4 linked regions of the Styela clava genome follow. The protein of the gene in region 2 purifies or fractionates together with the protein of the main gene of each other region. This does not show direct contact. Links are inferred from orthologs where the notes say so. Each region holds a gene or a part of one and is shown on either strand. Other genes may lie near its edges. The genes, in order: dolichol-phosphate mannosyltransferase subunit 1-like, F-box/WD repeat-containing protein 7-like, transcriptional coactivator YAP1-A-like and E3 ubiquitin-protein ligase RBX1.

Region 1 (8,093 bases), about 3.0 Mb from region 2:
TTTCCGTGTAAATAATCAATTTCACTTTGGAAAATTTTAAAAAATGTATTACATTTAGATAAAAAATTTCAAAATATTACGATTTTTGGTAAGCATTCGATGGCTGCATTGGAAGTTGGAGTTTGACGCCCTTTGATCGTATTAATTGCTCAAAATCATTTAAAGATGTTAAAATAAACCATTGACATAAAACGACTTCGCTAATTATGACTAATTTGATTTATGATATAAATTGGTATTAAAGAAAGCTCCATACTCCATAGAATATAAAGAGTGAAAACTTCTGAACCTGCATAATGTTCAATCAGCTCTACCGCTTCTACCTAATGGCATATCTCGGCCAAGATAATAACACTACAAACTGAAAATCATGATCAAATACAGAAAATATCGGAGGAATGACACAAGCTTATTGCAATGAAAAATTTGAAAAAAGCAGCTAGAAGGTTATTGTATATATACATAAAAAGATTTATAATGTTACGTTGTTGCAAACAAGTACAACAGACCCTTTGCAAATTGGATTATCTCAGTTCCTCCAAGCTTTGATTCACCATAGAATCTATCAACAAATGTGATTGGAACCTGGAAGTGAAATATGATATTTTTGATAAATTCCCAACAATACTGGCCAATGGCCATATCCTTATATCACCCATGAATTGAAACACCCACCAATAAATTAATATTTCTATCATCAATCATGACTTTTACAAATGTATCAAAAGACTGACACACAAAAACTGTTACAAGTTTCGAACATTAAAATCCAATATGATAAATTTCTAGTTTCAACCTACTGTACATATATTTATGAAGAGAATTTTTTGATCGTTGTTACACAACCAGTTGTTACTTGTACAGTCTTGATTTCATTGAGACTTGTCTATGGTCCAGACAAGCATTAAATATAACGCAAGTGCATGGTTGAAGCGCAAGTGACTGCCATGCCAATGCAAGAGTGTGGATGCTTGCTGCAACCCCTAATATCTTACTTTCGGTCCCTGTTGTCAGTTACCTATTGATGATATGACAAGCAACAATTAAGACTTTACCTCTCCAATCTTCAGGTCAAACTGTCTTGCCCGAATTATCATTTCCATTTGAAAAACATATCCTTTAGAAATACAAGACGAGATCAGCTTTTCCAAGACATCTTTTTTATACAGTCTGAAACTTCCAGTCAGATCAGATACTCCAGGACGTAGCAAGACTTGAGTGATATAGTTGGCAGTCCGACTGAAAAATTTAAAGCTATACAGAAATCTCCAATTTTTTAAATCACATAAAAAATAACCACGTTCAAGCAGTATTAGCCATGTAACAATCTTGCAAAGAATTATGTTGCAACTTGCATTGATTGCTATAAACAAAACATCGTTAGAATGTTATGTATTGTTGTTCATGTACTACTTGTTCAAAATATTTGACACAGTCATACATCATCTAGCATTCTAGGGCAATCATGTTATATTCATCTTTTCACATAAAATTTAGGGTGTAATAAAAAAAAATATTAATCCATAATTAAATTACCTAACTAGCTTTCTCTTCCAGTCCCATCCGTAAACACCGCCTTCTCCAATATATCGAGTACCTGATACAACATCACAGTCCCCATCTTCTTGTTTTCTGGCAAACAAAGTAAATGTGTTGAACCAAAAAAATATGTTCATATTTAAACCATACAACTTAGATGTGTCAACATGTGAGTACGCACAAATGTGAAAATAGGTCATATTCCTTGTATTGTAATCACAAAAGAGTTCATAATCTTACAAATGGTTGATACTGATGAGCTTATTAAACTATTGTAGGATAGAAACACATATATGATACTAATACTCACTTAATGTATTCTGGAATAAACTTTGGCTAAACAAAGAAGACATATGCTAGTAATGAAGCAGTATCATAATAGTTTAGATACATAAACGGGTGTAAGACAACAATTAGTAATACTTTTACATGGCTAATCAAATAACAAATAAACTGCAAAGGAATTGCAACAGTGATTGCTGAAATGAGCTAACAAGCATATAAAGATTACAGAAACATGCCTCACGATTAAGAAATGACTGTTGACCTCATTAACAAAAAATATTTATTCATTGCTTTGTGTATTTCTGATCGGATAAATATTTAATACTTCTAAAATCTGAACATTAAATTATAGAAACAACCACCAAAAGTGGATGATAGCCGATCGACCAGTACAAATCAAATGTGAATAGTACATTTGAGAAACCTGCTGCACAACTATACAATGGCAACTAAAACCATACTCTACTCACGTGATGTGAAAGGTCTGCATCCATTATGAAAATAAAATTGCCTGTTGCATGCTTAATTCCATGAATGTATGCTGTTCCAAGACCCAGTTTCTTTGCTCTTGGGCGCAAAACCTGAATGAATTTATTAGGGCTTTTTATTCAATTTATTAGGGCTTGAACGATTAGAACTTCCAGCCACTGGCTTCTAGATCGCCTGCTCTTGAATGTATGTATGTATCATTTTCACAGTAATCATATAAAATCAAGATGTAAAACTTAAACTTAGCATAATATTTTGCCCAACTTGAAATGCTCAAGAAGTTTCCTTCAAAATTAGAATAAAATGATATTAAATTCGCTTTGTGATCTTTATAGCATGCTTTCAAAACGTAAATATAGAAGTATAAATTTGAATATTGACAAAAATTACAGTATTTTAAATGAAATAATTTGCATGAAATCAGAACATACGATATCAATTTTTATTTATTGAGGTTTTTATAAAATAACATACGATTTTATCTTCTCCGTATATATCCTGCAACTGTTTGGCGACATCTAATGTACCATCTGGACTCCCATCATCAATGATGATAATTTCATGATCACAACCTCTGAAATATTTAACAATCTTTAACTTCGAAATCAATGTGAAAAAAAATGGCTCAGATAACTGGGAGGAAATATTACAGAATCCATATTTTAGATAACCATCTATCAATAGTTTAAAATTCTACTGTTTATTTGCTCATACTTTATATTGGAATAATTGAATATGATAAGATACATATATATTAAAATCGAAAACTCACATTTCTTTGAAATATTTCATCAATAGCCAGATAATTAATGGCAAATTTTCCCTTTCATTATAAGTTGGTAACAAAACTGAATATTTATTTTTTGACCCCATAATTCTTAAATATACCTATTAAGAAAAAACAAAAAGTGCAGATTTATTCATAGAACACAAACACCACAGATTAAACAAGCGTTAGCCTAAAATGCAACATGCCAATAAATGATAATTGTCATCAGGTACAATAATTTTAAAAACTGAGATTTTGTATTCAGGTGACCTCAAATACCTTCATAATTTAATAACATTCATTAAAAAAAGGAAAATATCAGACATGCCAGAGGAAGCGTTTTTTTATAATAATACGGGCATTTCACACAGTCAGTCACACACAGGGAACTATTTTTCAAAGAACCCAGTTTGGTATTGCCTACCCAATTTATTACAATATTTATTCAACCAGATATGCTAGTTAGGTATAACATTCTTGGCCATCTCAGCCAAACATTAAATAAATCGAAGAGAAAATTAAATGTTCATAACTATGGGGTTGTACAGAAATTTGTAAACAACGAAATAGACATGATTGAAATTTTGAACAATGAATTGCAACAAAAGAAGGTGGAGACCCTAACCCTGTGAGTATGTGGGCTAGCGGCATTAACAGAAAATTTCCAAAGTCGTTGACACAACACAGCTGGAAAAATTTTCATTAACTTAGGTACAAGTTAAGAGTTGACATGAAGTAACTAGTACAACTCTATGTGCGAATTTGAAAAAAAAGAGCAAAAAATGAAGTCATCGAGACTTATGAACAATAGAAGATAATAAATTATTTGATACAGAACCAGAATCATCAGAAGAGCTATCACTTTCCGATTCTTCTTCACTTTTATCATCACTATATGCTGCTAAACCAGGTAATACACCAACAAGCTTAGTTGCTGATGGATAAACTATTGTTTGTGTAAGGTTCTTATCAGCATTGTTTGATTCAGTTTCGGATTTTTGAATTTTCTCTGGTGGACATGGGTTTGTCTGCTCTTTATTAGAAGTTTGAGAACTTGGTACTTTTCGTTTTACAGCATTTTTCAATATGCTTTGTTGTGGATTTTTTCTGACAACCTGTGATTTTTTTGGCAACTCTTTTTTGTCCTCCGCTCTTGTTGAAGAATCTATTGGCACATTTGGAAGTTCTCTTGACTGAGCTACGGCAGTTCGAAAGTCTTCAAGTTCTCTTTTTTCTTCATCCCGTTTCTGTTTGTCAAGTTCAAAGTTTCTCTTTGAGACATCAGAAAGAAAATTAGATTCATCTTGATCTATCCCTCGGAATTGATTTTTAAACTTTAATTGTTCTTCAAACTCATCTTGTTTTTTGTCTTTTTGCTCTTGCAATCGTTCAAACAATGATCTGCTGTCATGAACTTCTTCTGGTGCCTCAACAGGGTCTTCAGGTTTTCTTAATTTTTCCCATTCTTCCTGTCGAACTTTCCTCTTTTCTTCCAACTGTTTTTCAGATACAAAGCTTTTAATACCAGAACTCATTGTGAGTCAGCAGATGAAACAGATTAGTGGATTAAATGAATATTGAAATATTTTATCCGGCTAAAAACGTATCATTAACGTTAGTTGATGCGCTCAATTACAGAATGTATCTAAAACCATACGGTAAAATGTTTGCACATAGACCAATAAACATCGGTATTCATTAAACAAATTGAATGAAAAATATGCATTCGTAAGCAGCAATTGCAATAACTGGAAAACAATAGCCTAAATGCAATAGGTCGCACACGGGTCTCGTGTAGTTTCGTACCTAACGTACTTCTAGTAGGCGTAGCATAACAATTTTTTGACATGCCAATCCTAACCCTCGCCTGACTACGCCATCCAAAAATTACGTCACTACGACGTCACAATCACGTCATAGAGCTTGCCAAATACTCGTACGATCGCCCGAAATAGCATCGGCGCCGACGATAAAGAACTGACTGACGTCAGCGACCTCTCTCCTATCGGGATCGTTGCGACGAGAAAACGAGAGAAATGGCTGTTCGATTTGGGATTCTCGTCTTCGCGTCTTGGATGACAGTTCGCATAGTTTGAAGGGCTCTATTACGTCACTGTGACGTCGTAGTGACGTAATTTTTGGATGGCGTAGTCAGGTGAGGGTTAGGATTGGCATGTCAAAAAATTGTTACGCTACGCCTACTAGAAGTACGTTAGGTACGAAACTACACGAGACCCGTGATGAGTGAAGTGAAGAGGATGATATATTATCCTACACTGCTAGAGGCGGTGAGGATGAGATGTTATCGAAAAACATTTTTATCCTACAAACTTTACATATTGCAGCTGGATGATACCATGGTTAACTGAATATTCAGTTAACCATGATGATACGGTACGATCGGTGCCGGTACGATAGTCAATCAGACTGACACTAGTACAGTACAGTAGTATGGTATAGTTCAGGGTGGTCAAAACCCAAGCCCGCGGGCCACATGTGGCCCGCGTCGCATTTGCGAGAGGGTAAACAAAAAGTCGCATTTGGTGTTGTTTCATGATAAAAAAGAACCAGAAAAATCTTTTGACACGTTACATCACTAATTCCACTGAACAATGACATTAAACAACATGATAGGCAACTCTGACGTCACTCCATAAGACTACATGCGAAAGATTGTATTTCATGATACGCTCCAATGCACATATTTCTCGTCGCCTTTCGCGGCCGTTTTCCGCTCGCTTCTGCTACTCGGCGTCTTCTTTACGTGTAGTACCAGCCTTTTTGCGCCTGTAACAAAAGAAAATAATCTCTATATCTAAGAAGTTTTGCTCATTTGGAAAGCTGGAATGGCAGACAAGCTGTAAAGAGTAATTCTGGACATCATAGACGTTTTTTTTTATCATAGAAGATTACAAACGCGATAGCGTGAAGATTTGTGTGGGACATTTTGCAGATAATGACAAAGTTCAAAGTTAGTAATTTTAATGTTTGCGTTTAAACATTGAAATTTCATTTAAAGAGGGTGTCATACAAAACAGTAAAACTGTTTATACTTCTCTTAACGGCGATACAATTCCATAACACAAAGTTTGCACCTATCGAACTTGCTTTAGTTGGTGAATTTATGAGACATATTACATATTTAGTTAATCATAGGTAACATTGCTGGTACATAATGCCTCGTAGATAGGTATGTGTCTAAACTTAGGAATTTCGCTCATAGCCCACTATTTAATATTATCTTCTATGCAGAAGGTTGCAGGGCTGATTTAACTTGCAGCCTTACCGATCACCTGACGATGCTCATTTATTTTGGTTCGAACAAGTCATCTTGAAAGACTTGTGTGAATGGAAACTAACTATATGTTTTGCCTTCCTCCGATTTTAGAAGACAAATTTATTCTGAGGGGTTTCGCATATAATTCTCATTGAACGTTGGCTGTTTACAATTCCTATTAATTGTGAGTACTGATTATAACAGAGAGTTAAAAAAAAATTTACGTAATTTACTGGCACCCTTTTCTTGTCAATACTCCAAGCTGAGGTAATAAACAAGGCAATACATTTATGTCATCTGGAAGCAAAATATGCACACTTATTAAAAGTTTGACACATTGAGATAATACACCATGACAGAAAATACAAGTTAAAGATATGTATGACCATCACATGATAATTAAAATTAAAAAAAAATTAATAGGGGCTGTGGAGTATGAAAAGTTCAAGACAAAGAAAAGAACAAAAGTTCATAGAATTTTGCCTCCATTGCTTTGTGAAGGCCAATATATTCCGAGTTGCTGAATTGGTTTACCTTTATGATAGCAACGATTTTGTAATTAATATAGCGAGATTTTTTTTCAATTCAATTGAAGTGATATTATTTCCCAAAGCAATGCTTTAATCGTCTAGACTCTAGAATAGATGGGTGGTGTCAAACTCATGGGTTTTCGAGAGCCGCATTGCATGTTGGAAATTGTAAAAAGGGCCGCAAACAGTTTTTGATAATGTCTACTTAAAAGATATTTTCAAGATAGTTTTAGTTTGTGACATATATTGGGATGCAACTAAACAGTTGGATTAAGTTTTATTATTTTCTTTAATTTCAAACGCAATTACATATTAATATTTGCATTCCACTATTATTGCACTGTATTTATTACAAAAAATCATAAAATTATATGTACAGCCATCAAAATCATTTTTGAACAAGCTTTGGATAAGGAAAGAATAATACATACACTAAAAAAAATGACTTAATCTAAATATATGGACCTAAAATTAACAAAAATACTACAGTATAAACTCAATGTTTTTTTAATTACATTTGTCCTGACGTTTGGCATCTTTTTTGTGTCACCAGCATACTAAGGCCAGGCTGATATGATTTTGTATTACCAACTCTAACTAACGAGGTCACATGATCATGGGTTAATCTGGATCTTTGCGAATGTTTAATTAATTCCAGTAATGCAAAAAAGTTACTTTTATCATACCATGTATAGATCAGTAAAAAAAAACAAATGACAGATTTTTTCGACAAGACATTTCGTGCCACATTGCGTGGCATAGGATTGCTTGCATTATCATCGATATTGATTTTTAGTAACTAAGTCGTTGTATAATTATATTAATATAAAAACACATGGAAATTTTCTGTTCGGAGTTGGTCATCGAATTTGTCATATTGACTGCTGAGCTTATTGTGTTTTTTCATTGTATTGATGTAAATATGACAAATTAAACAGTGTGCTTCAGAATTTTGTGAAATGCAGAAATATTGCAATTCCCATTTTCTTTGAAAATGCTACCTTCTTCATGTACTTTGCGTTTAATTTAATCACTCAAGTGTTTTATTCAAGTATTCTTTTATTCTCAATTGGATCAAAATGTGAACAAAAAAAAATTAATTTTCCAAAACTACTTTCAGTAAATTGTTTTCTGTGTGAATAATCAATTTCACTTTAAAAGGTTTGAAAAATCTATTACATTTAGATAAAAAACCCTTCCAAAA
Region 2 (8,375 bases):
CTATGGCTTATCATTCATTATACTGCCCAGGCAGGTATGATGCAAGGCAGATTACCCGTTATAGCTGTCATATAAAATCGTTTTCTAAACAGCCTAAAAGCATTTTATCATTGCATTGGCAATATACAAAACATAACCGCTAAGCTAAGTATGAGAAACATGTTGTGTACTAGTATGTAATACAACCGTAACCTGTTTTGAATGATGAACATTCCCAATGGGATTATTTGTTAAAATTCAACGCCTTTTATGATGTTGCTGCAATGAACTGATCTTTAATTTGTTCAAACGAAAGGTTCAAGAATGCTATGTAACACAAGCTAAGTGGAACTATTGTATATCAATGACCATGTTTTTCGGTCAATTTGAACATTTATACATTAAAAGCAGAAATAGGGATTTTCAATTATTAACCACGTATATATGTGCAATATAAATCAAAATGGCCAAAAAAGTAATAGCTACCGGCCAATGATCAATCTTTACCCAACCATTTATCATTTTTAATATATTTATGGAAAAAAAACTTGAGACTTGGTAATTAAAGGAAACCTTATAAGCGATGCAAAAACGAATTTGCATATTGTTGTAATGCTGTTTACATAATTTTGATTTAAATTACATGAGTTGTATAATGAACAAAACCTGAATATTCATATTTGAATGGATAATAACAAAATTTATCATAATTTTCTCAAATTCACCAGATAGAATCAGACTTGGCCACGGCCAACCTCCCAAAATAATTCGAACAAAACCTAAATATTCATATTCATCAGATAGAATCGGACTTTGCCAAATTTCGAAATAGAACACATTCTTGTACAGTGATAATTCTGTAGTGGAACATAATTCGTTCAGGAGTGATGTTCGAATATCGATTTGTTCGAGTATCGAAAATTTTTTGCCATAAGAAACAATGGTAATTATTTTTAATCGTTCTTACGCATTCCGAAATACCAAAAATATTAACAAAACGAACGTAGAACAATATTTATTTAAATGTGTACAAAATAAGAATTAAACAAAAAATTTTGTATCAGTTAATATACTGGGGCTCTATAGGGTTCGTTTTTTGTATGCGATGACGTCATCAAAAATTGAGCGCACCTTGAGTAGGTTCCGCTTTCACGATAGTCGTGAAGATTGCCTTACCGGGTGTTTATCGTGACAGATACTGTACATACACATACTACTTCATTATGGCCTTAGTGCCCATATATTTGAGCATTGCTCTCTTGTTAAATGGTCAAGAGGCAGCTGAAATGCGTGTTCGGGTGACGTCATCTCACTCGGAGGTGCGATCGGTGTTCGGGCACTGAGTTTCCGTTTGATATCCAGGAATTTTTGACTAGATATTTTTGCTCGGCAACTGAATTATTCAAGTATCGACTCGTTCGATTCCAAGGTATGGATGTAATTCCAATATCAGAATGCATCCTAGGGCAGAGGGATGGACAAAGTTTTTGATGCAGAGGGCCGCATTGAGAAATGTACCATATATTTACCTTCAGTTAAAATTTAATACAGCTGCCATTGTTGAAACAGGAATAAACAAAAAAAATTAACATTTTTTTTAACTATTCATAGTTTGGATATTCCAAAAAAGCACATCTAAATTTTGTATATATTAGTGAAAAATTACTCCAAGAGCAAGCGCGCCGTACAAAATGCTTTGGCATGTCGAATGTGACCCACAGGCCGTTAACTGTCCATCCCTTCTCAGGATGTGGATGGAATTTCTAGGACTTGATGTTTGAGCACACAGAATGACAAATTGGGAAAATACCAAAAAAAAAATTTTTTGGGTTGATTTACAATGTAACTCATTTTTACATTTACATACTCATTTACCAACAACTCATTTTGTTCCTGAAATGTCCAATATCAATAGAAATAATGTAATAAAATTATGTCGAAGAGAAACAATTCGGAATTAATTTAGGATAATATTGAATGTTGTGAAATTCAGGTTTAAAGTCGAATAAAGTTTGAGATTGAAAGTTTTGAAAGACTTCAATAATCATACTGTACCTGCTAACATCAACTCCGATACGGATAAATCTCCTTCCTCAAGGGGTTCGTCATCACTTAGCTCGTGTAAAGCCTTGATTTCGCTCGCTCTACTTGATACACAGAGTAATACACCTTGATTTCTTTCTAGAATACATTGTGTGATTCCAGGAACATCAGTCAATTCACACAACTTCTTGAACTTTCCAACAGTCTAATACAAAAATAAAAGATCATATTTCTGTCACAATGTTAAAAATTTACTATAGCGGTATAAGAATTGATCAATTTTTACAATCGAAACAAAAAAGGGACAAAGGCTATCGAAGTGATTTGATTTTTAATCGCTGAAAAATGAGTAGGAATGGAAATGGTTGGGTGAATTGTTTTGGCGCTTCATGTAGCCAAATCTTTCTTGCATTTGCTTGGTCACACAATTCTCAGAAAAAGACAATGACTTTGATGCAAGCTGGCTTGCAATCAAATCACATTTTAAAATTTGTCACTCGGTATGAGACATAATTTTTTAAATAAAATGGTTAGGCTAACCAATTTAACGCAGGCACACTTGCGTGGACTTGAAGCATGTTTGACTAATTCTAGATATAGCTGACACTGACAGTATACTCAGACTGAAGAAAACTTCGACATTTTATTTAGATTTAAAACATTCTAAATTCATACATACTATAGCAATTTTATAAAGGTTGAATTATCATAAAACCACAAAAGCTTCGAGGTTTATGGTTAAATCTGCAATATATAAAATATATTTTTCATATTACTATTGAAAATTTTTTGTACCATTAATAGTGTAATAATTTTGTTATTAATCAGCCATTCTTATTCCAGTATTCATGTGATTTATATTTTAATAAATACAGAAATACTCACTGTTCTGAATCGAACAATAGCTCGAGCTTTAGATCGTCCAACTCCCTTCAACCTAGTCACAAATTCATCGACTGACGCAGTATTAATATCGACAGCTTCCTCATCGAACTCCATTAAGTTGAGTTGTCAGAAAGTTGGTTCAGTGGTTAGAATCAAGGTCTAAACACAATTAGTTTCCAAAGTGGTACATTTCTTTTAGTTACAGACGTCAATAGCAGAGAACTGTTCAAATTACTGTATTTATGGAGAAGTTTTAGGATTGGCACTATCAGACTATACTGCAGTAATGGTCTGAAAATAGATGCAAACACTTTTGAGTTAAACTAGTCCAATTAAAATTAATACATTTGTAAAGCCATGGAAGTTTTAATAAATGAAAACAATACCGGAATAATGCTGACATTCAGATTACCTATAACCCAGGTAACCTAAATTTTATCAGGCTGTTCTGCAAAAGACTGAAATCTTTTTAGGAGGTGATTTGGTAAAAACATTGTGCTGTTGTGAATTGGATTTATCTAGATGTTAATTGGAATAAAAACCGTAGACTAATCCCCTCCTACTGAACTAAATCGCGCCATCACACCAGTCAAAATTTCTAAATCTCTGATTCCAGACTGCTGATGTTGTCTAAGTTTTTATGTAAAGTCAAGTGTATTTTTTCCAACTGGTCAGTAAATAAATAACCTATAGGTAGTCTATATCCGTGAAAATGTGCCTATTCACAGATTTAACAGACGTGAAACTCTGTAACAGCACTCACCATACAGATGATAACATCACTACACCAAGCAATCACACAAATCAACAAGTGAATAAAATCAGACACCTATTTCAGGTCTCGGTGCAGTGGTGGCGAACTGCTTGACCAATGCTCATCCTTACTGCCATCTACAGGACACGCTACTATATTGCAGAAACGGTGGGATTACATACATTACGGATGTCTGTTGTAAAGGCTATTCATGTTCTATCAAAAATATCACCGATGCACATCTAAAACGGTCGACCAGAGATGAACTTTAGCTGGGATATATATGCCTGAAATGTATTGTTTGGGACTCCCACCACCAGTGAGGACTTCGATGCTTCCACCGACCCGCGCTTCACATTTTGAATATAACCCCTACAGTAGAATGTTTATAATAGAAAATCCACAAGCCGTGGTATGCATGAAGTTAAGAGACATCTTTTCCTCGTGGTCAACACGAAAATCAGATCTTAAAATAGCAAACCTGTCTCAAATAGTCATATTTATTTTTATGCTATACATCAGCAGACACAAGCTGAACCAGTGTAAAGACGTTTTCACTTTACACCATTCCTTAACTAAATTATATAAACACATCAGAATAGACAATGTTTTATTGCAAAATAACTAGCAGCTTTAATCTGAAGATAACATTATTTCAAGACAGAAAAGTATTCCTTTCCAAACTTTCCTCAAGTCAAAAAGCTCAAAATTGAGTAGCACCAGTTTACGATTGAATATGATCACTTCACTTTCGGACAGAGCAGTGTACCAAGTAAATTTCTACACTTTGAATAGATAGAAATGACTAGAATGCATTATTGGATTATCAAATTGCCTTGTAAAGTTTAAATAATAGGCAAGAGATCAGCCAGCATCAATATTATCAAATTGCTATACCTAGACTGCTGAAAAAACTATACTTTTTATCTTTAATTGCAACATAGATGAAAGTATATTTTTATACTCAAGGAAGCAAAGACTTTTTCGACAAACTGCAAAATATTCATTTCATTTTGTGTGTAAACATTTGAGAGAGTGTTAACATTCAGAAAAAGATTGGAAAGCAGAACATATTCCTTTATTCATATTTATTAATGGAGAATGAATAATGACCTTGTAAAAAATATAAAATGACCAGACGATGATAACACACAATGTGAAAAGATACAAAATGAGTTGTTGATGTCAGTTTTAAACTGGTTAAAGCAGACTACTAGGTACGAGAACCCATAAAATTCCCTATAATTTCAAACTTCAGGTGAAATATCATGGTGTACATAAAAAAATTACACATGAAATGCTGAAAAACAGGTCAGAAACTGCAGATATGATTCTTTGAACTCTCCACACAACCAGATAGTTGATGTATAATGAATGACTATAAAAAACATGCCCACTCTCTCATCTGTTCTGGTTTGCTGAAACAAATGAAGCTCACTGTTAAGATTGAAATTGTTTACTCGGTTCGTGACACTTTGGATTATTTGATAGAGTAATGTGAAATACTAAACGCCTAATTACCAAGCTAGCCAACATTAATTTGATAGCTCAAGTCAGACACTCCAGATATTTCATTTAACGTAAATTATTGAAAATTGGTACGTAGTTGAACCCCAGAAATTAATTCAAAATAAAAGAATTTGTATTGCATGTTCCTTTACATCTTAGACTCGTACTCCTGTATGAGTACCATTTACCGTACCAAAACGATGGATTCCTAGAATACCTACCTTTAATATTCAGATTCAATGCTGCTTGCTTAACTGAATCGTTCCCCTGAATATCAACAAGGTTGACCTAAAATTGTAGTGGATAAGTTATATGTTAACACTTGAAGTTTATTTTAAAGTACAATTAAGAGGAATTAGATTGGGGGCTGGTAACTAGATTGAATATGAGCTTCAGAAGCAAAGATGCATTAATATATATTATTTTAAATCAAGTTTCAAATTCTTACCAGAGCATTATGCTGGTATAATCAATAGAAGTAGAACTCAAAATTTTACTACTGTTACCTTCGTTAGATCTATCAGGCGTGTGTCATTATGTCTAAATCAACACACTTATTCTATGAAACTTAACTTTGTAAAACATTGAAACTGGGATATCATAATTATTGAAATGTTTAGGTATTTTAAATTGATGGATATACAAATTAATACACACAGTATTCTTTAAACAGAAAATTAATTTAGAAAACTTACCAATGGAAATGATTTTGAAAACTGTGGGTCAGTCATTGAATAATTTTCTGGAAAATTTCGAGCAGAACTGACTGGCATTGTTTTGAGCTTCGATGCAGCAGAATTAGAAAGGTTTGACGAAGACGAGTAAGCAGTAGAAAACGAGTTTGTGTTTGGATTGAAAGAGCTAGCCATTGACGAAAGTAACATTGGATTGAACCCACCACGGATTGATTCCAATTTAATATTAGACGCACCAGATGGTGAATATTGAAGTTTGGGTATTGGAACAGAACAAGGAGTTGAGGAACTCCGTTTCGTATTTTGCGGAAAAGTAGGAGACATTGGTGGAACGTTATGTATGTTTGCTAAATTATCTATGGCTGATTGTGCAATTTTAAAATTTGGGGTATTGGGAGACACAGTGGATTTCTCAATAGAGTGGTGCTGGTTAGAACGCGATCGCTGGCCAGAAAAGTTTGAACTAGATATAGACGGCACAGCAAAGTTTGGTATCGGTCTCATTGTGAGATTTTTTATGGCATGCTTATCATCGAATGTCACAGAATACACAGGCGCTGTTGACGTTGGTGGACATACTTTCTGCTTTGCTATTGAGGGCACTTTGTCAGGTTTCGATATTTTAGGGGGTGTGGGATTTTGAGAAGACCAAGAAGGCCCAATTGCTGTAGCTACACGTTTAGTACCAACATCTAATTTTGGGAAGCCACCCTTTGAAGCACTGCTGGGCGTTACAGCAGCGGATGAAATCTTAAATTTGAGTTTTTCGTCTTGTTTGGAGTTCTTAACACCTTTAGGCAAAACGTCATTAGGACTGAGACCCAATATTTTTGAAATAGCATCATAGTTTGATAAACCAGGGGATCCGTGGTAAACTGGATTTGCATGTGCCAGTTGGTTTTGATCCATCATAAATTTGATTATATCAGATGCATAACTTTCCATAGCCTGTGAGCTCATCGCAAGTGGAACATCAACAGCAGAGCTAAATGAGGAATCAAACGAACGATTGAAAGTCTTATCAGAGTATAATTTTTTATCAACCTTCTTAGTTGAACCAGGATTTAACATTGTTGCTGGAGGCATTTTTGTCTTCACAATTGAGCTTGTATTAGAGGCTTTCCAGCTGCTAGTGGAGACTTTTTCATTTGAAGGGGGTGCCTTCTTTTGTGTAGAGAGTGGACTTGAGGTAGGAGAATTTTCACTTTCTATCGACGCTACTAATTCAAAACCACCTCCTGATGTCAAATTTCCAATTTTTATTTTATCATTTGTGCTATATGTTGTTGAGTTGCGGGAACTAACAGCATTAACCGATGGTTTATAATTTTTCGAGTCATTTGTTTCATAAATAAGCTGCTTCTTGAATGACTTAGCAGTTGTGTCACTCTGTCCAGCAGAGTTATTTAACGTTCCGACATATTTTTGTCCAGAAGCGATATCAGCAGCTTTATTTGAGTCTTTGGCAGAACCAAGTACCTTTTTATAACTTCCAGCTAGAATAGAGGATAAAAGTAGAGAGTAAAAATTACGTTAAAATGAACCAAATGACCAAAGTTCAGAACAAATCATTTTTAGTTTATTGTAGAAATTAGCATTGCTGAAAAATAACATAGCATTTATGAGCAAATTAGCTGTGAGGAAATTGAGGCCACAATTTGCTCAATTCATTATGTGATTCAAAGTGAATTAAATAAAAACCAATATGAAATCATCATATTATTTAAAAACTAAATGATTGCATGAATAATAAAATTGAACCGAAATTCTTCAACTCTAAAATTCATCAGACATAATATTACACATGTTGTGGTTCACATAAAGCCAGTGTGTGCATTTGCACCAAGAACTAATAAGTGCTAGAAATTTGAACTTAGGGACTATTATATATAATGGTGAGTCACCAGTAACACATAAGAGGGCTAATAAAACATTCAAATCTAATATGAAAAAGCAAACCCCCATGACATAGACTGATTTCGCATGTGAAATTAGATTGCTCTCAATTTTAGTAGTTTCGAGAAAACAAAATTTTTCTCCCTCAGGGCATTTGTCAATATAAAAAAATAGGCAATCTTTTAGACGAGGAGATACACAAATCAACTAATATCAATCACAGTAAACTGTCTTACTATCTAACACATGGATTGGTTTAGTCTGCAGTAAACTTGACTTCTTTTTTATTCGATCCTTTCGCTTCAAACGATCTTTACGATGCGACACAATCATTGGCGAAACTGCTCCCTCATTGCTACTATGAATTAAAGGCTGGGGTTTGGTTATGATGCTCCCTGCTGACTTTTGAGTACTCTTTGAACAGTAAAAATTCTTCCTAGATATTTCTGTTTTGTTTAGCGCCCTGGAATTACTCTGTGTGGAATGCTGAAAATCATTGGCTACCTTCTTAACTTTATCTTCCCTTGTGGATTTGCGAATTTTATTTACTTTTTTACAAGGAGATACATCTCTCATCTCCTTTAAGCTTTTGCTATCTTTTGATTTTAAATGTT
Region 3 (7,926 bases), on a different chromosome or scaffold from region 2:
CGAGCATATCAAACTCAAAAAATTCCAGAAGTTCATGTCTAAATTTTTATATAATTAAAATAACTATGAAACAAACCAATGAAAACGCATTGTTTTGAAAGTCATGACAAAAGACAAAAAAAACTGAGGATGCAAATTTCAAATAAAAGAATATTTAAGCTCAAAACAATTTGATTTACTTCATTGCCGATTATAAAAATTTCTTCTGAGATGAGTAAAGCAAACATTATATGAAGTGTTCAATCATCATTATTTGGGGAAAACCACTTGTTAGAGCCCAATACTGTTGTTCGGTACTATTAAAACAATGCCGTAATTAGAACAATACTTCTTTATTTACAAAAAAATTCTGCACAAAACATTTCGTACGACAGACTACAGACATTGGAATAACTGCTTAATAATGGATATTCTATAGTCTAACAATTGTCCTCCTCTTGTCATGATATATTTTAGTCACATTGAAAAAGGAAAAATTGGGAAATAGATATTGTTAATACAGTGTTAAGCAACACTACCCAACATCTCATTAACAAAAAGTCATATAACAAACTAGGACTTTTTACTGTGGGACTGGAAACAGCAATACATTTAGATCACAGTTGAACGAGGGGTATTCACAAAAAAATTATTACAGTTCAATTGTTACCTTATGAAGCTGCTGTTGTATCTGTGCATTCATCTGTGACTGACCACCTAGATTCATGCCTACAATTGATGCAAATAGAATAATAGGAAAAAAGGATAAAAATTTGATATTGTATAAAAAGCAAATGATAATTTGCATGGAAATATTAAAAAAAAGGAACCTTGAAGTCTTGGGTCTAACCAGCTAGTGGTCCGTGTTTCATGATTTATGAAGTATATTTCACCCTGTGGTGTAGTTGCTTGTTCCCAACCACTCGGAAGAGGTTGCTGCACAACTAATTGCTGAAATGTTTATAGCCATTGATTAGTTTTATAAATAACAAGGTGTATTACTGCCTTTCAGCGTCATCTTGGGGCGATGCTGTTCTCGCATAAAAACGTTTAGCGCTGTGCAAATTTTGTAGCCATAACTTTTATTTAAGCTATTTTAAGGTTGCCGCTGACAAGTAGACCGAATAGTCATTTCACGGTTATCCTACCATTTGGTTTAAATATTTTGTGATCTTTCTTGTTTCCATTTTGTTATGCTTTACCGGCATTGCTAATAAAAAACGATTTGATTGATTGAACTAATTAAGCTACTATCATGTATTTTAGAGCAGCGGTAATACTGGGTCAAATACACAAATTTCTGGTAATGCGAAGGCCACACTAAATTTCAAATTATGACTCGGTTATGCTATTCTAGATATGATTATTGTTGCACGATAATATTGTTGATAAAATAACACCAAAAAATACATTGATTCAATCATTCAATTCAATTTATTAGTAAATGATATTACATTATATTATTGTTAACAACTAGAGAAGAACGTTCCAACTTCCGAGGCTTAAGTTTTTATAGCAATGATGCAATATGCAATCACTTACACCGATATATTGTCAGATCTTACCAAATCATGCAAGCAAAATACAAGCTGATGCTGTAAAACGCATGGAGCAAAGATGTAATTAAAACAGCCATAATCTCCAACTCGATATACGATTTATGTCTGCACAGCAAAGAATAAATGATGTAAAAAAATGTGATACCTCAGGCTGTTGTACACTATTAATATGCATCTGAGACTGTTGATGGTTGACTGCTTGCATGTTATTGGCATTAACTCTTTCTTGTTGCTCTTTTATTACGTCAATTCGTGGGTCAACCCAGGTAGTAGTTCTGTTTGTGTGACTGAAAAGTGATTATAAAACAAATCAATGTACTGGCAGAGTTGAAGACTTATAAATTTATATCACACGAAGCACTCAGTACTGGTACTATAATAACTTGCAAGAACCGTATTATAAGATTTATACTTATCACACCAACAACTAAAATTAGAAACAGACTATATTATGTTCCAAAACCATGTTAGATTCATGAAGTGCAGTTCTTCAGACTTGTTCGTTTAATTAACAAGTGACAGCAGGATGTGTTAGAAGTGCATTGTTTCCTCAATTGGACTATTATATTGGACTATTATAAGTATCTTAAAAGCACCTAGAAATTTGAAAATTACTTCATAAAAATGAAAAAGGGTATTTCTTGTAAAAAAAAGTAAAAATTAACTTATTTACATACTTCATGAAATAAGTTTGACCGTCCTGAGTTCTCGCGAATTCCCATCCCTGTGGTAATGGCATATCAGGTGGTATTTCAATATGATTACTAGGTTGCTGAATTTTCATCTGCATATTTGCGTTGGCTATTTGCAAACTTGCAGGTGATGACTTGGATCGGGAGTGCGCGATTTGTGGTTGTTGCAAGGCAAGGTGACTTGGCGAATTTTGGAAGGGTGAGTGTTGCATTGGACCTGGGGTAAAGTTTCCAGATCGGGGTCCAATATTATTATTCATGTGTGTTTGAGACTGCTGTGGAAGATTATTCGAAGATAAATTTAAACCGGATTGATGAGATGCACTTGAATCTGTACTGGAGCTCCGTGAGTGATTGACTGGTGTTGAAACTAGCCCACCCATTGAACGAGAGTGTGCATGCATCGGCACATGACGTGGTCTATCCGGTTGCTGAAAAAATGACTTGGGAAGTTTCCTATACTTCATGGGAAGGGATTTTGTCTTTTTATTAGGATCCAAAGCAACATTGAATAATTGATCCAACTCATTTGCAGAATCCTGACGGACATGAAGGATCTGACTATGGCCGGAATGACCTTGTGTAATAGTAGTTTGTATTTCAGGGTCATTTTCCTCTTCCTCCATATTAGACATAGACATATCAAAAGTCAACTGTTTTAAACTAGGATTATTAAAAGCTAGGAAGAATAAAATTCTCTCAACTTTGGACTGAACTTGAGTTCAATGTTGATAAAAAAAAAATTGTTTTAGCCTCAGAATTCACCAGGGAAGTAGTGATATGTGAAACGATAAACTTGGTTTCATCTATTTCAGTATTTGTATTCTGAACTATTGTAGCTGAAAACAACATAGGGATTTTATTACATGAGTTTTGGAATGTGTTCCAGAACCAATATATGAATAAAAATAGGAGAATGGTCCAATGCTAAAGGTATATTTTGCACATTAGAAAAATCTCATCTAAACAGACTATTATTGCTATATATCATAAAATACCTTGGAAAAAGCAATAAGTTTTTACTATAAATTAAAATTAAACATCAAAATAAACATAAAATTTCTTATATGTGCCACTACAAAAAGCTGATAGTATATACTGCACCTCGGTTATGTATGTTGGATAGGCCTATACATGTTTTAGGTTGATTATTGCTCTATTCACTGCTTAATATTGCTTACACATGTATTGCCCATTGCAAGATATCACAGCAATAATTCTAATGATAATAAATTTAACTCCTTCATGTCACATAAAAAGACCTCAAATTCGATTCGAACAAAAAAACTGATAGTACGGTAAGTAGTAACTTTAAGTACTGACAATTGTCTCTAAACCAGGTTATTAACCAAAGGTAAGCCATTTGTATTTAATTTGCATGAGAAAATTTGCTTTTGTTTAACAATAATAGCAGTGACCATTAGCATTGGTAAATCATGCTCACAGGCATATATGTCAGGAAACCATCACATTTGGATATTAATGTTGAAATTATTCTCTGAATGCTACTATTTTCATATAAACTAGCATTATAGGTTCAGAATTGAAAGAAAATAAACTTTGCACTTTCAATAATAAACTAGATATAACTAAAATAGGGTATATTGGCTCAATATTCTCCCCATTTCTTCGTTCTATTTGTCTTGCACATACCATAATCCAGTAATTACTGAATTATCGGCCATGCTGCCATGGGATTAGAGCCTATCAATGTAGTCCTAACGCTTGGCATGGTGCATGTGCACCAACCACTGAACCACAGAGCTTATCACAGTGGAGATTTTTTTTATTTACAGCAGGAACCTGATTGATATTCTAAAAAATTTTTATCACACGTCATCTTATGGTGGTTCTGCATAAGGATTGACAAGTGTTTTTGACAGAATTTATAAACAGATAACTAAATATAACATTCAGACATTACAGCATTATTTAGCTATTCCTAATGTTACGGTACCGTATGTTATTATATTTAAACTAATCCCAATGTGAGTGAAAATCAAGGGCTAGTTCACTAAACGACGTCAAGTACCGGTACTTCTAGTTCAGTACCGTACCGTACGGTGGTACGGTAGTCAGCAGTCAGGTATTTGGCATGGCGTAACCATTTTCAGATTTTCGCATAGCCTATGTCATTTCTAACCCTCACCTGGCTAAATTATGTCACTACAACACAACACCTTAAACGAAATCAGACTGTAAGAAGAGTCAGTGAATAGGTAGCCAGCAACTAAACATGTTTACGAAAAGACATCGAAATCGGCAACACTTTTCCGTCACAAACAAGACATCTATAACAGTATAAGCCAATCGTCAAATGTAAATGTCGCCTCCCCCAATGTCCTGCGCCACTAGCGTTGGCGGGTATAATTCCACACCATATAATTTAAAAAGAGATTTTTTTCACAAAACAACATTTACACCAACACCATAATGAATATTAAAGTTCTAGAGTTCGAATAATATCTTTTAGCTGGTGTCAGTTGGCAAACCCGATGAAATTCATCGTGGATTGTGATGCGCTGCGCATAACTTTTTTCAAGCATTCATATTTATAGTAACGGTAAAGTGAAGAAACGATGAAAAGATAAGGCAAGTCATATATAAAAAGAAAGAAATGGAAATGCAAAATCATCTTACCTTGAAATTTTATTTCACATAACAACATTACCACAAACAAGTAAATATAAATCAATATGAAAGCTCTACCCGTCGAATAATATTGCCCATCATGTCCCGCTGTTTTCAGCAAAGTAATGAAAAAACGATAAAAACTTGAATCAATTCAAGTATAAAGAAAAAAGTAAGTCTACAATACTTCAGAAACTGATCAAGTTGATGACATCGGGGCAGTTGCGTGCCTAGAGGGGGCGAAAGGGGCAGTCGTCCCAGGTAGCACGTTCTAGACCAGGTGGGTCAAACTTGCGGCCCGCGGGCCGCATGTGGCCCCATAGAAATTTCAATGCGGCTCTTGAACGCTTAACAATAATTGTTATTTCTCAAAATTTTGAAATCATTGTCCAATTCGTCACTTTTCCATCAGTATAATGAAAAAATACAATAGAAGTAGACATAATCAGAATAAGAACAGCATTCAATATGACTAAATTTAAAGATCAACTTCGAACCATGAAACTGTTGCAGTTACAGCAAGTACAGCTAAATCAGCAAAAAACCTGCTTCAAAACAATCTGTGAAAGTAAAGTTTATGATTTTTTGTAATAAATACAGTAAATTGCAATAATAGTGAAATGCATGAAAATAATATGCAAATGGCATTTGAAATTTAGGAAAATAAAAAAACTTCATTCGGTTGTTTAATTACTTCACATATATATATATATATGTCACAAACTACACCTATCTAAAATATGCTTTAAGTATACATTATCAAAATATATCAAAGTGTGTTTGCGGCCCTTTGCACAATTCCCAAAATGCAATGCTGCCCTCGAATACCCATGAGTTTGACACCCCTGTTCTAGAGGACAGCAGAACCGAGCGGTAGAGTTTGCGTTATTACACATGTTTTTCTCGATGTGTTTTTATTGAATTAAAAGCTGACAATATGTGAGTGACTGACTGTGGTGATGGTGAGTCAACAATAGATGTTTTCCCGACCACTGACCCCAGAAAAATCACTCATATATTCTACAGTTGCAACATTTTTGGTGCTTTTAATGATGGTTTCGCCTTAAACTGGTTTACATGTTTCAAACAAACATTTTAATTCAAAATATGCAACCCTGTTATTTAAAAATACCGGTAGAAAAGTTGAGCCTAGTCTGTCAAGACTAGTTTTAGACTAATTTTTGATTAGCAGCAATTAAACTATAATAAGTCGCAATAATCATTGAGTTTGTACTGAAATTTGCGAAACATAACGAAAAACGAATAGCATGCAAAAACGAGGTATGGTTAACAACCATGCCAGAAAATCTGTGTATGTGGCTACTAAAACGTCTACTGTTACGTCGCTTTTCCGAAATGGAAATGTTTGTTGCTTAGTTTGATGATTAATTTAATAAAAACAAACGTTTCTATCTTAGTTGACCTTTAATTTATTTAGTCTCATGCATAACAATTACTATAATTTGTTCGGTCCCAGAATTATGGGAATAGGGGTATCTTTATCAGAAACTTGCCACGGGCAGCAAAAAAGTTTTGCACAGCCTGCGTCGAAGTCAAGTGAATGTTAATGTCAGACAAGCCTGAATGATTATGGAATTTTTTTTCTAGGCCACAATTCCAATTTACAAAGATAAAAAATTAAAAAGTATGATGTTCACAATATCAAATATGTTGAAATATATCAGAATAAATATTTACCCTGTGATAGATATTAAACAGTCTTGAAAAACATTCAAAACTAATTAAACAGTTTTAGAAAACCTCAGAGATGTTTTGTTAATTCATCATCATATGTTGTTGTTGAATATAAATTGATTTATAATTGAAGGCAATGATCAGTACAAATGTAACGCATTAGGTTCAAACGTAATTACAAATTACCTCTTACGTATTACAAATTTCTTCGATCATTTTACAATGATTTCACAAATTACTATCCACATTTTTTTTTTAGTTTTAATAGACCTGGTGGCCCACAGCTTTATCATAATTCTTCAGAAATGTTTTGGGAGGCAATGTGTTGGTCGACTCCAGATTTGATGGAGTTCATGATATTATGATTTGGTCTTCCACTACAGGTAAACTACCGTACTAATTAGATTACGCAGGCGTTCCCAATTCAGCTTGCGTCATACTAACAACGAAATAAAAAATTCGCGGCACACTTATTACAAATGAAAGTTTTTAAATTCCCTATCAGAAAAAATTACTTTGGTTTACTATATACATTTTATATACATCCATTTCTAATAACGATCGTTGAATACTCGTTTTCTGAAATTGATGAGAGAAAATCTAAATGGTGTCAAAGTTTAATAGTAAAATTATGAAATCTATATATATAAAAAGAAAAAACGTGAAAAATTTTAAACTTAATATCATTTTCAAGATTCCAATTTCTTAACTGCTGACAGGTTGAAAAGGATTGTTCCAGTATTTTAATAGAAACGATAATTTATCCCAAAACAGAAATTTCCCGTAGTTTCAGTGTGACTAATTACCGAACAGTACTATATAAACAAAGTGGAATTGGTAAAATTGCAATCTTTCCAGAATGTTGCACAATACATCACCTATCGGTGGACATAAACTAATGTATCTTCATATGTATGTTACCATACTACTCCAATTACTGATTGCGATGTAATAAAGTTCATGATGATTATTGTGTAAAAAGCTCAGGAAGTTTCTGAAAATTTACCGTTTAGGTAACCCTGGATTACTGTGATACGACTTTACCGATAAGTGAAATTGTCCATCCCTCAGTCGGAGCAGAGAAAATTCACCGATTCATGGCACGCATGCAACTAATATATCTGTGACACCGGTATGACACACTTTGCATCTTTTCAATGTAAGGTATTATTGTATACGGGGATAGGTAATTTTTAGAGCTTTAAAATAGACCAAAATTCACACCGATGCTCCACAATTAAATAAGACGAATAAGACCATATTTATTCCAGGAAGAGAAAAAGCAATAAGACCGAAGTAATAAGAAAAGGAAATTACACACTTTAAACTCTCCATAGTAGTAAAAAAATTGACCGAACCAATAAATTTTA
Region 4 (8,312 bases), on a different chromosome or scaffold from region 2:
TTGTATGATCGTGTTAATTTATTAAGTTAATGTGTAATATTGAGTGTCCCGTTTCTTATATTTGCTGCTTAATTTCAGCTACAAGGTGTCGCTGACTAGATGACTCTATGAGTCTTTTCGCGACTCCGCGTCAACTGCAACAAGCCGATATCCATTTGACATTTTGTTACATTATATTATTTATTCATTTTTCATATCGCGCATTGTTTTTTTGCATGACGAAAATAAATATCTGAATCTGAATTCTCAGAAACTTTGAAATCATCATTGGACATGCCATTTTTTATTATTTATATCCGCTTTACTATCATAAGATCACTGTGGCTTAATTCCTATGTGGTTGTTATTCGAGAAACAGAATAAAATTTGGGGGTTGTCAAATTTTGGAATGCAGTCTGAATTCCAGATTAAGAAATATTTTTGCATTTGGTATTGTTTGTATTTAGAATAGTCCCGTATTCGTTTATGGCCGACACTGTATGTCGGCTGATTTAGCTAGTCGCCTCATTTTTCATTCTATGAAATTAGACCACATAGGCAAATATCTCAATTCTTGGTGGTTTACAACCACTGCACTAATCTATTTTACTAAGTAATGCCTAAAAATTTTAAGGAATATACATAACGGACAAATTTTTTTTATTCTACACAGAGTGGTAAAAATAGAGCATAGCTTCACTGCTAATAACCATTAAATGCCGGATCCCATATTGCCCACACACCAAAAAGAATTGAGTACAGGAAAACGACATTAACACAGAGATCACAAGTTATAATATTTTGAGTTTTATAAAATGTGTACAATGGAGAGTTCTGTAATGTTTCAAAAACCCTCTTTCTTTGAAGTTTAGTGGAATAATAATATTGTACATGGAATGACATCCATAACAATATAGCAATAAAAAGGCATGTAACGCTCACTGAACAAAGGTATGAATAGGAAGGAACAGCAAATATCAAATCAGTTTATCTCCCATACTTCTGAAATTCCCATTCCCGATTATCAAGCGGACAAACCTGAAAATAAAATGGGAGTGGTTAATTGTCAAAAATCTAAGAAATAACAAATTTTAGAAATATTTCAAAAAAATTAATATTAATTCTTCACATAATATTCCAAAGGACATCGTGATTTTGCAGTAACTGGATTGTATTGTTAATAATAATACAATTTTTACACCCAGGGATTGCAAAGTCAAATTGATTTAAATTATATAGATGGCAGACAATGTGATGAGTAGGCCATTTTTAGCGGATGATACCATAAAGAGGTTTCAGTCATGTGTCATCTTCCCACTAATTTATTGGCCATTCAACACAATCTCCCTAAATACTCTTTTGAAAAAAGCATTATAATAAATTTAATGAACAATCTGCAGATAAAGACAATAACTCGAAATTTGCGCTAAAGACATTGTTGAATGACATATTTTGAAGTAGCATTAAAACAATCCCTATGGCAATATTGTGTGAAAAATTTTTTAGGAAAAAAAAAAATAACATGGTGAATGAAAATCCAAATATCCCGGTATTTGTTTTTCCAACCTGCAATGAAAAATATATAAAAGCCATAAAAAAATTTGACATCACATTTGAAAATTACAACAATCTAAAATATTCATCATTATATGAATACAGAGAAAAAGTATCATTTCACACCTGTCTAGTTTTCAGCCAACGAGAAATACAATGGAAATGAAAAGCATGATTGCAGACACCCCAGGCAACTGTACACTCATCCGAAGTCGCTGATGTCTGGTTAGCTTGACATTCAATACATAAATCCATAATATGATTCCTACAGATAGCACAGTTGTCGACCACAATATCCCAAGCCCAAAGGGCAACGGCATTCCATTTTTTCACCTTAATAAAGTAAACCGTTAATAATGACACACTTATTGTTGAGTACAGAGTGACCCAGAAAACAAGATCACTGGTTATTTGAAAAATATACTAGTCAGAACATCATTTTTGTACTGAGCTACGGAAACATACCCCGATAGAAGTTACAAGTCTTGGAATATTTTTTTGTAGAGTAATTAAAATTTTATGGTAACTTCCGTTTTTTTGGGTCAATCCCGCAATAATAATAAAATTAGTGAAGATTGAATGGTAGGTTATATATTTATAATTACCTCAAAACGTTTCTTGGCAGGAATGGAACTACTAGATGATGGCTGATCAACTTCCATTTTTCTGTGTGATATTGAATACTAATCAAGATTTAACTAACTAATAGCAACAAAAAATAAATGTAATCGTTATCAAAAAATATTATAGTACATCATCAATACAATTCTATTATGTTGAGATGACCAAACTTATCATATTTTCTGAATATGTGATCACCAGTTTGACTGTTTGCTTCAAAGCATAGGTTACTCCTTATAGCCTAAGAGAGAGAGAGATTTATTTCTACAAACAGCATCAACACTGAACATGAATAAAAAAATTGATATAATAAAATAAAACCCCTCACAAGCTGTTCATTTGCCTAGTGTAAATTATCATGAAAAATAAATTATGAGAGATTTACAGTAAAGAGTCGGAATAGAGTCACAACGATTGCTCTGAAATTGAGCATATGGACGACGACGAACTAAGACGTATAAAAAAGAAATGGCAAAATGGGTGAAACACAATTAAGTCATAGATTTTATGGTCATAAAAATACACATTTTCGAATAAATTTTACATCAAATGCACATGTTTAAATTCTAGAATAGTGTCTGTTGTTTGTGCTAGAACATTCAAGTTTGCCTCCACCCTCACCGATTGAAATGTTGGTGTCGTGATCCGCAATGTCTGTAAATCTTGTGAGAGAAAGAGATTTTATTTTTCGTCAAAAATAAAAAGTACCATAATAATAAATTAGTAATAATATAATACCATATGTACCATAATAAATTAGTTTAGTACCGTACTGTATCAGAGTACGGTATACTAGTATAGACAGGAGGAAGTGATACGACCATACTGTAATTAAAGTTAACTCCCCCATTTCCCTTTTTTTGTATATTGCGTATTTTTTTCAAACAGCTCCAAAAATACCTGTATACAGGGATAAGTCAAACCGTCAGTCTTACGTCGACTCGTTGTCCGAAAACTCCGTAGATGAAACTTCTGCAAATCGTTTTGATGTTGCACGGTACCAGTACCCTATGGCAGAAAAAGACTGCCACAAACCGAGTACAGGGTATCATTGAAGTACTAGCCACCCCACCCGGCACTTAGGTCAGTAGGTTGACTTTGATCAGGTGTATATGGGCTTTGATTTTGATAACTTCCTTTGTAAATCGCTAGTGCTGCATGGAGTCAAAGTTTACGACTAGTAAACTTATATCTGTATATTCATCTGTACGACGAGGAAACGGTCGTCAACGCACCACAACCAGTTCAGATTTGCACGGATGGAAGTTACTCCATGCATAGACATTCTTGTTTATATCCGTAGATAGATCCGCCCTCTCAGATATTGCGTAATTGTACTTTGCTGCTCCACATATCACTTTGCTGCTCTACATATCGTATTGTACTCTGTATTTTACTAGAGTTTTATTTGTATAGTCAGTTTCATGTATGTTGCCCTAGTATAACGCAGCAGTCCTAAACTCTGAAATTGCTGTTATCATTGTTAGGGGTACATGTCGCACATCTGTGTCTTAGACCAGTAAGGTCTTGAACATGTATCCCGTCTCTGTTTTACTGTTTAATTATTATGCAGATACTGTTACATTTTTGAGGCAAATAAACATACATACATACATACATACAACCAAAATTTCATTTTATATTGCATTTATGATACTTCATCCAGAGCCGTTATATAATGGCTCTGCTTCATCTGCTACCCAATATTTATTTGCACATAGGCTCTCTATTTTTTTTTATATTTGGTTATTATTACTATTATTGTATGGTTTTTTCATTACCTTAGTTGATTTTTCAATTCATTTCCCATGAGTTTATATTGACTCTTTTATAAGACATTTATACGAAGACTACAATTTACTGCAATATTTGCACGAATGGCCTTGTACCAGAAAAATGTATTGTGTAAACCAAACTCTGATTTATGATCCAACTCGGGCTTCTGATTATAATTTATATGCATAATTTTTTTTTTGTTTGACCGTAAATAAATATTAATAGGGTTCAACAAAATGAAATAAACTCTCTCTCTCTTTAAACCCCCTCTCCAGTCGGACAGATTGCTTGTTGTTTGTTATATATTTACGGTTTTGTATATTGATCAAAAAACTCAATGGACGCTCTTCCTGAGATTTAAGTTTTATTTAGTTTCCGCGTAAACGCAGAAATATCGTAAAAGTTCTTTCCCGTAAATATTTTCTTTTAGACATCCAACATAAAGTGATTCGCGCAAAATGCAACATGTCGCGCAAAGCGTTTTTGCAAAAGTCATAAGCTTTTTCTGATTTGTCACATGACGCTTCCGCTTCGGATCGATGTTTTCGTTTGCGATCGTTATTGCATTTGTTGAATGTCGTCGCTTTTCATGTTTGTACATATTCAAACTGGGTAGGGTGGCATATTTCGCGCTGTCGTATTGATGTACAAGTACGGTAGCTGATAAAAGTGTAAACTTGTATCTGTGAATGCTCGAAATACTGGAATATTGGTGGCGAATTTATAATGCGGTTTTCAGGTTTTAGGTTCTCATCTGTTTAATTGTCTAGGTTCAGAGGTTGCTACCTTTCCAGGTTTCGGTATCTGCGTATCTATGTGGCACAGAATTTATAAGTTATACCGGTAGCACAAAAATTCTAGTGTGATAAGTGTAGATTAGCGAATCAAATAACAATTTCTTTATTGACTTGAAGTTTTGCAAATAAGAAGTTAAATGCCTATTGCTTTAGGGAGCGTAGACAGTTCTAATTTTTCGAGTCTGCTGTAACGATTCTGTCTGTTGTAGCAAGTCTATGCATGCCACTTTCTCACATACATAGTTCATTTTCTTGTGATTTATGTTTGTTATGTACCGGTACCGTAATAAAATTTCACTGAACAATCCATTTTTACTGTATTCACCACATACTGACATAAGAACCGCAGCCACAATTTTTTTTCTCTTCTGAATTCTAGTTTGTATGAAGTACCGCATTGCCATGATCTTCTCTTGATCATTGTCTCACATTTTAAAATTGATTTTAAAGGCATTGCCCGATTTCACATTGTGTCATCGTTACATTTTATTGTGTTCTTTTAACTGTTTTTGGTGGACAGGCAAGTTCGGTACTTATACGTTTTTTAATATTTTATTAAATTATGCCCGTCCTCCAGGTCCTCTGAATTTTGTTTATCCATTTGTTGTTTTGTTTCTTTTAGAGTGATTACATTTCAACATTCAAAAAAATATTGAGTTATATTTGGAATCGTGTGCTCACTGACAGGCTGAATTGTGCATTTTGGATTATTGCTAAAAGATTTTGAATAGGAATAATGCCTTGCAAGATTCTTGGACCAAAATGTTCGGTATGCTGCAACTTAATAAGTATATGGGCCGTCATCATGCTCGGCTTAATGGGTGTATTTTTCCAAATCAAAAGTCCTGCGCTCTATCCAGATATTGCTATGAATTCTACACAGATTAATAATCAAACATTTGTATACGCTGCGTATGAAGATGCAGCCAAGAACTGTTATATCGCTGCTGGTATTTACGTGGGCGTCTTCTTCTTCAGCTTGTGGCAATGGCGAGTCAATAGATCTCTTCAAACATACACCGTTCGATGATATGCTATATGTATTTTGGACTGCTTCAATGTATTTATGAGAAACAAATATAATGTGCTATATTTTAGTACTTTGTGTGTGTAAGATATTAGAATTGCATAGCTCCAAAAGTAAAAAACAATTGATGACCTCTTACGAACTGATGATTATAATTATCATGAAAGATTATTAAGTTTTTCAGCGCATTTGTTGCTTTGCTGGATAATTTATATCCATCAATTTTTAACTCATCCTGATTTCCAGCCAGATAATTGTGATGCCTATTATTAAGGATATGCTTTTTATAAAGTTGTCTAAACTCCATTAATGCTTTGGATTATTTTCCCTGTACTTCTCCAATTGCGGTATTATTTGTAAACTCGACATGTTTACTATACTGATGAAGACTGTTAATGTTAATGTGGTCTTTCAGTGATGGCTTTCATGTACTTATTATATGATTGTGCTACTTACTAACCGTTTGAGTGGTATTTTTAGTTATTTGAAGAAGGGCATTATGTAACATACGATTCCTTTGGTGTACATGATAAAATAGGAGTCTTGTCCTTCTGTGTTTACTTATTTTTGATGCTGTGCTGAGAAGGTCACAGCACGCTATAGGTATTTTGTTGTCGTTTTTGGTTCAATTGGGAATATTATCAGCTAAATTGTGAAAAACATATTATATATATATATATTGTAGTTGTGCAATAGTGTTGTTTGACTGATCCTCTACATGAAATACAATATATTTCATCGTAAGTCTTCACCGTTATACTAAATGAAATCATAATGGGATATTGATTTTTGAAAAAATAAATCTGTGACTCCACAGTTTCAGTTAGTTAGAATTACTCAGTTTTAAATTTAAAAAGTGCTTTTTTGGTTCAAACAATTACTCAAGTCACCACAGGTATAGATTGCCAGGCACTCCAGAAGTTTGTGCACCAATATGGAGGTAACTAATTTTGTTCGCCTATTTTACATCAAGTTGTGTAAAGGGACTGTGGGCAGGGAAGGGGGTAGGTACTGTCCCCGAACTCATAATAAGGAAAATTGAAATAATATGCCCTAACCTGTTACCCATACTACGGGAGTACCGTTTGTCAGATTAGGTAAGTCCATATTGACCACATCCGCACCAACAAATCACACAATTATTGCCGCACTTCCTACCCCCACTAATCAAATTCCTCATAATCGAATATCAGTGATTTACGAATACCCTGTTTGCTGCTAGAATCTCAAAACAATGAAACTGCTGGTACTAGGATTTTCTGATGTTAAAAGAGCATTACAGGAAAGTATGGCTTACTTGTTTTTATTCTTGCAAGAAACGACAAGAATAGACGTAGTCATCACTGGTCTGAATATAGGAGGGATATTGCATAATAAAAAGAACAAGCTAGAAATATAACACAAAACTAATCGTGCAAAAAGAAAATGGAGAATTTCTGGTTTAAGTGTTGTAAACAAGAGTTTGATGCATAGCAATAAAAACAGTTGATATCATTCTACAAAATGAGTAATCTCTTCTGGCATAATGCAATAAAAGAATTTACAATGTGATAAATGGCAAAAACATAGGCTGAGCAGCTTTTTAAACAACATGTATACCTCCAATAAGAGGCACTGTAATCTCACATGACATATATAAGGCATATGATTGCATACAAATAAAATAAATAGGTGTGTAAAGCTATGGAACTCCATTCTATATAATCAATAATACTGTGTATGTCCGTATTTGAATAGTTTTCAGTGTTGAATTAATTACATAAAAGGTTCTTGCCTAGGTATATAAATTTTATTTTAATGTGTTAAAATAGATTTTTTTTAAACAAAATCATGATCTCAGTTATCGCCAAATTTTATTAAATTCGAATACATCTCTGCATCATATTAAAATTTTGTTTGTCTCTTACAATACTAAATGCACAATAATTACCTATATAAAATAAATTGAAAATAACAGAAAAATGCATAAATTTCTGAAGAAAACCGCTATTCAATTTATTGTCACACCGACTTTAAACGAATTCAGTGAGAAACAGGATTTTGACAGCGACACTCTGGTGCTGGTATTGGCTTTTTTACAAGATTAACTAAACTAAAAACGAGCAGATTATTCAAAATTGGCGCGTCCCGCCCAATATTTCCTTGCGGGCCGAATTTGGCCCACGAGCAACAGTTTGCGCACCCCTGGTCTAGAACATAAAAATACGACAACGGGTTATTCTAAATCCAATCACTTGTTAAACATAACTTTAGCGTAGTTTTTGAGCAAGTTTCTCCAGTCACAATAAGGTTACCTATGACCTTGTTTAAGCATATTTTCAGACGGCAAAATTCACAATTTGAAATCCTGACATGGATTTTTTCTAGGCGTCTACAACAACTGTTGTTTCTCATTTTCGTATGCTCTTCGGTGATATTCTGACCTTCGAGATATAAGCTTCGAGAAGCGATTTTCCAGCACCTCATTCGTTAGCGGCGAATTCTGTTCATCGTCATGCATTCCTGACTGAAGTTGTCTGAAATTATGGATGGAAACAATACTCCTCTAACTAACTTTA

What was found.
Region 1: the proteins of F-box/WD repeat-containing protein 7-like (region 2) and dolichol-phosphate mannosyltransferase subunit 1-like purify together in Homo sapiens (affinity purification with mass spectrometry, with the first as the bait; 3 studies listed by BioGRID). This does not show direct contact. The link is inferred for Styela clava from reciprocal best matches to the Homo sapiens genes FBXW7 and DPM1.
Region 3: the proteins of F-box/WD repeat-containing protein 7-like (region 2) and transcriptional coactivator YAP1-A-like purify together in Homo sapiens (affinity purification with western blotting; 4 studies listed by BioGRID). This does not show direct contact. The link is inferred for Styela clava from reciprocal best matches to the Homo sapiens genes FBXW7 and YAP1.
Region 4: the proteins of F-box/WD repeat-containing protein 7-like (region 2) and E3 ubiquitin-protein ligase RBX1 purify together in Homo sapiens (affinity purification with western blotting; 8 studies listed by BioGRID and IntAct, with this or other methods). This does not show direct contact. The link is inferred for Styela clava from reciprocal best matches to the Homo sapiens genes FBXW7 and RBX1.

What each region holds. Positions count from the first base shown.
Region 1 is NC_135263.1:8,595,696-8,603,788, forward strand, and holds dolichol-phosphate mannosyltransferase subunit 1-like, read right to left. Parts: upstream 3,227-8,093; 5' UTR 3,187-3,226; coding exon 3,086-3,186; intron 2,888-3,085; coding exon 2,788-2,887; intron 2,406-2,787; coding exon 2,295-2,405; intron 1,876-2,294; coding exon 1,850-1,875; intron 1,633-1,849; coding exon 1,537-1,632; intron 1,240-1,536; coding exon 1,056-1,239; intron 586-1,055; coding exon 481-585; 3' UTR 391-480; downstream 1-390. Other genes in the region: PSME3-interacting protein-like, read right to left, coding at 3,871-4,617. UniProt on the Homo sapiens protein: Transfers mannose from GDP-mannose to dolichol monophosphate to form dolichol phosphate mannose (Dol-P-Man) which is the mannosyl donor in pathways leading to N-glycosylation, glycosyl phosphatidylinositol membrane anchoring, and O-mannosylation of proteins; catalytic subunit of the dolichol-phosphate mannose (DPM) synthase complex.
Region 2 is NC_135263.1:11,561,313-11,569,687, forward strand, and holds the start of F-box/WD repeat-containing protein 7-like, read right to left. Parts: upstream 3,214-8,375; 5' UTR 3,022-3,213; coding exon 2,908-3,021; intron 2,228-2,907; coding exon 2,035-2,227; intron 1-2,034. Other genes in the region: uncharacterized protein LOC120340979, read right to left, coding at 5,063-5,079, 5,392-5,458, 5,866-7,361. UniProt on the Homo sapiens protein: Substrate recognition component of a SCF (SKP1-CUL1-F-box protein) E3 ubiquitin-protein ligase complex which mediates the ubiquitination and subsequent proteasomal degradation of target proteins.
Region 3 is NC_135257.1:9,974,421-9,982,346, reverse strand, and holds the start of transcriptional coactivator YAP1-A-like, read right to left. Parts: upstream 3,071-7,926; 5' UTR 2,872-3,070; coding exon 2,216-2,871; intron 1,826-2,215; coding exon 1,684-1,825; intron 931-1,683; coding exon 810-930; intron 709-809; coding exon 650-708; intron 1-649. UniProt on the Homo sapiens protein: Transcriptional regulator with dual roles as a coactivator and corepressor. Critical downstream regulatory target in the Hippo signaling pathway, crucial for organ size control and tumor suppression by restricting proliferation and promoting apoptosis.
Region 4 is NC_135252.1:17,433,872-17,442,183, forward strand, and holds E3 ubiquitin-protein ligase RBX1, read right to left. Parts: upstream 3,280-8,312; 5' UTR 3,207-3,279; coding exon 3,090-3,206; intron 2,817-3,089; coding exon 2,776-2,816; intron 2,200-2,775; coding exon 2,139-2,199; intron 1,867-2,138; coding exon 1,660-1,866; intron 1,018-1,659; coding exon 967-1,017; 3' UTR 623-966; downstream 1-622. Other genes in the region: uncharacterized protein LOC120342750, read right to left, coding at 8,126-8,270. UniProt on the Homo sapiens protein: E3 ubiquitin ligase component of multiple cullin-RING-based E3 ubiquitin-protein ligase (CRLs) complexes which mediate the ubiquitination and subsequent proteasomal degradation of target proteins, including proteins involved in cell cycle progression, signal transduction, transcription and transcription-coupled nucleotide excision repair.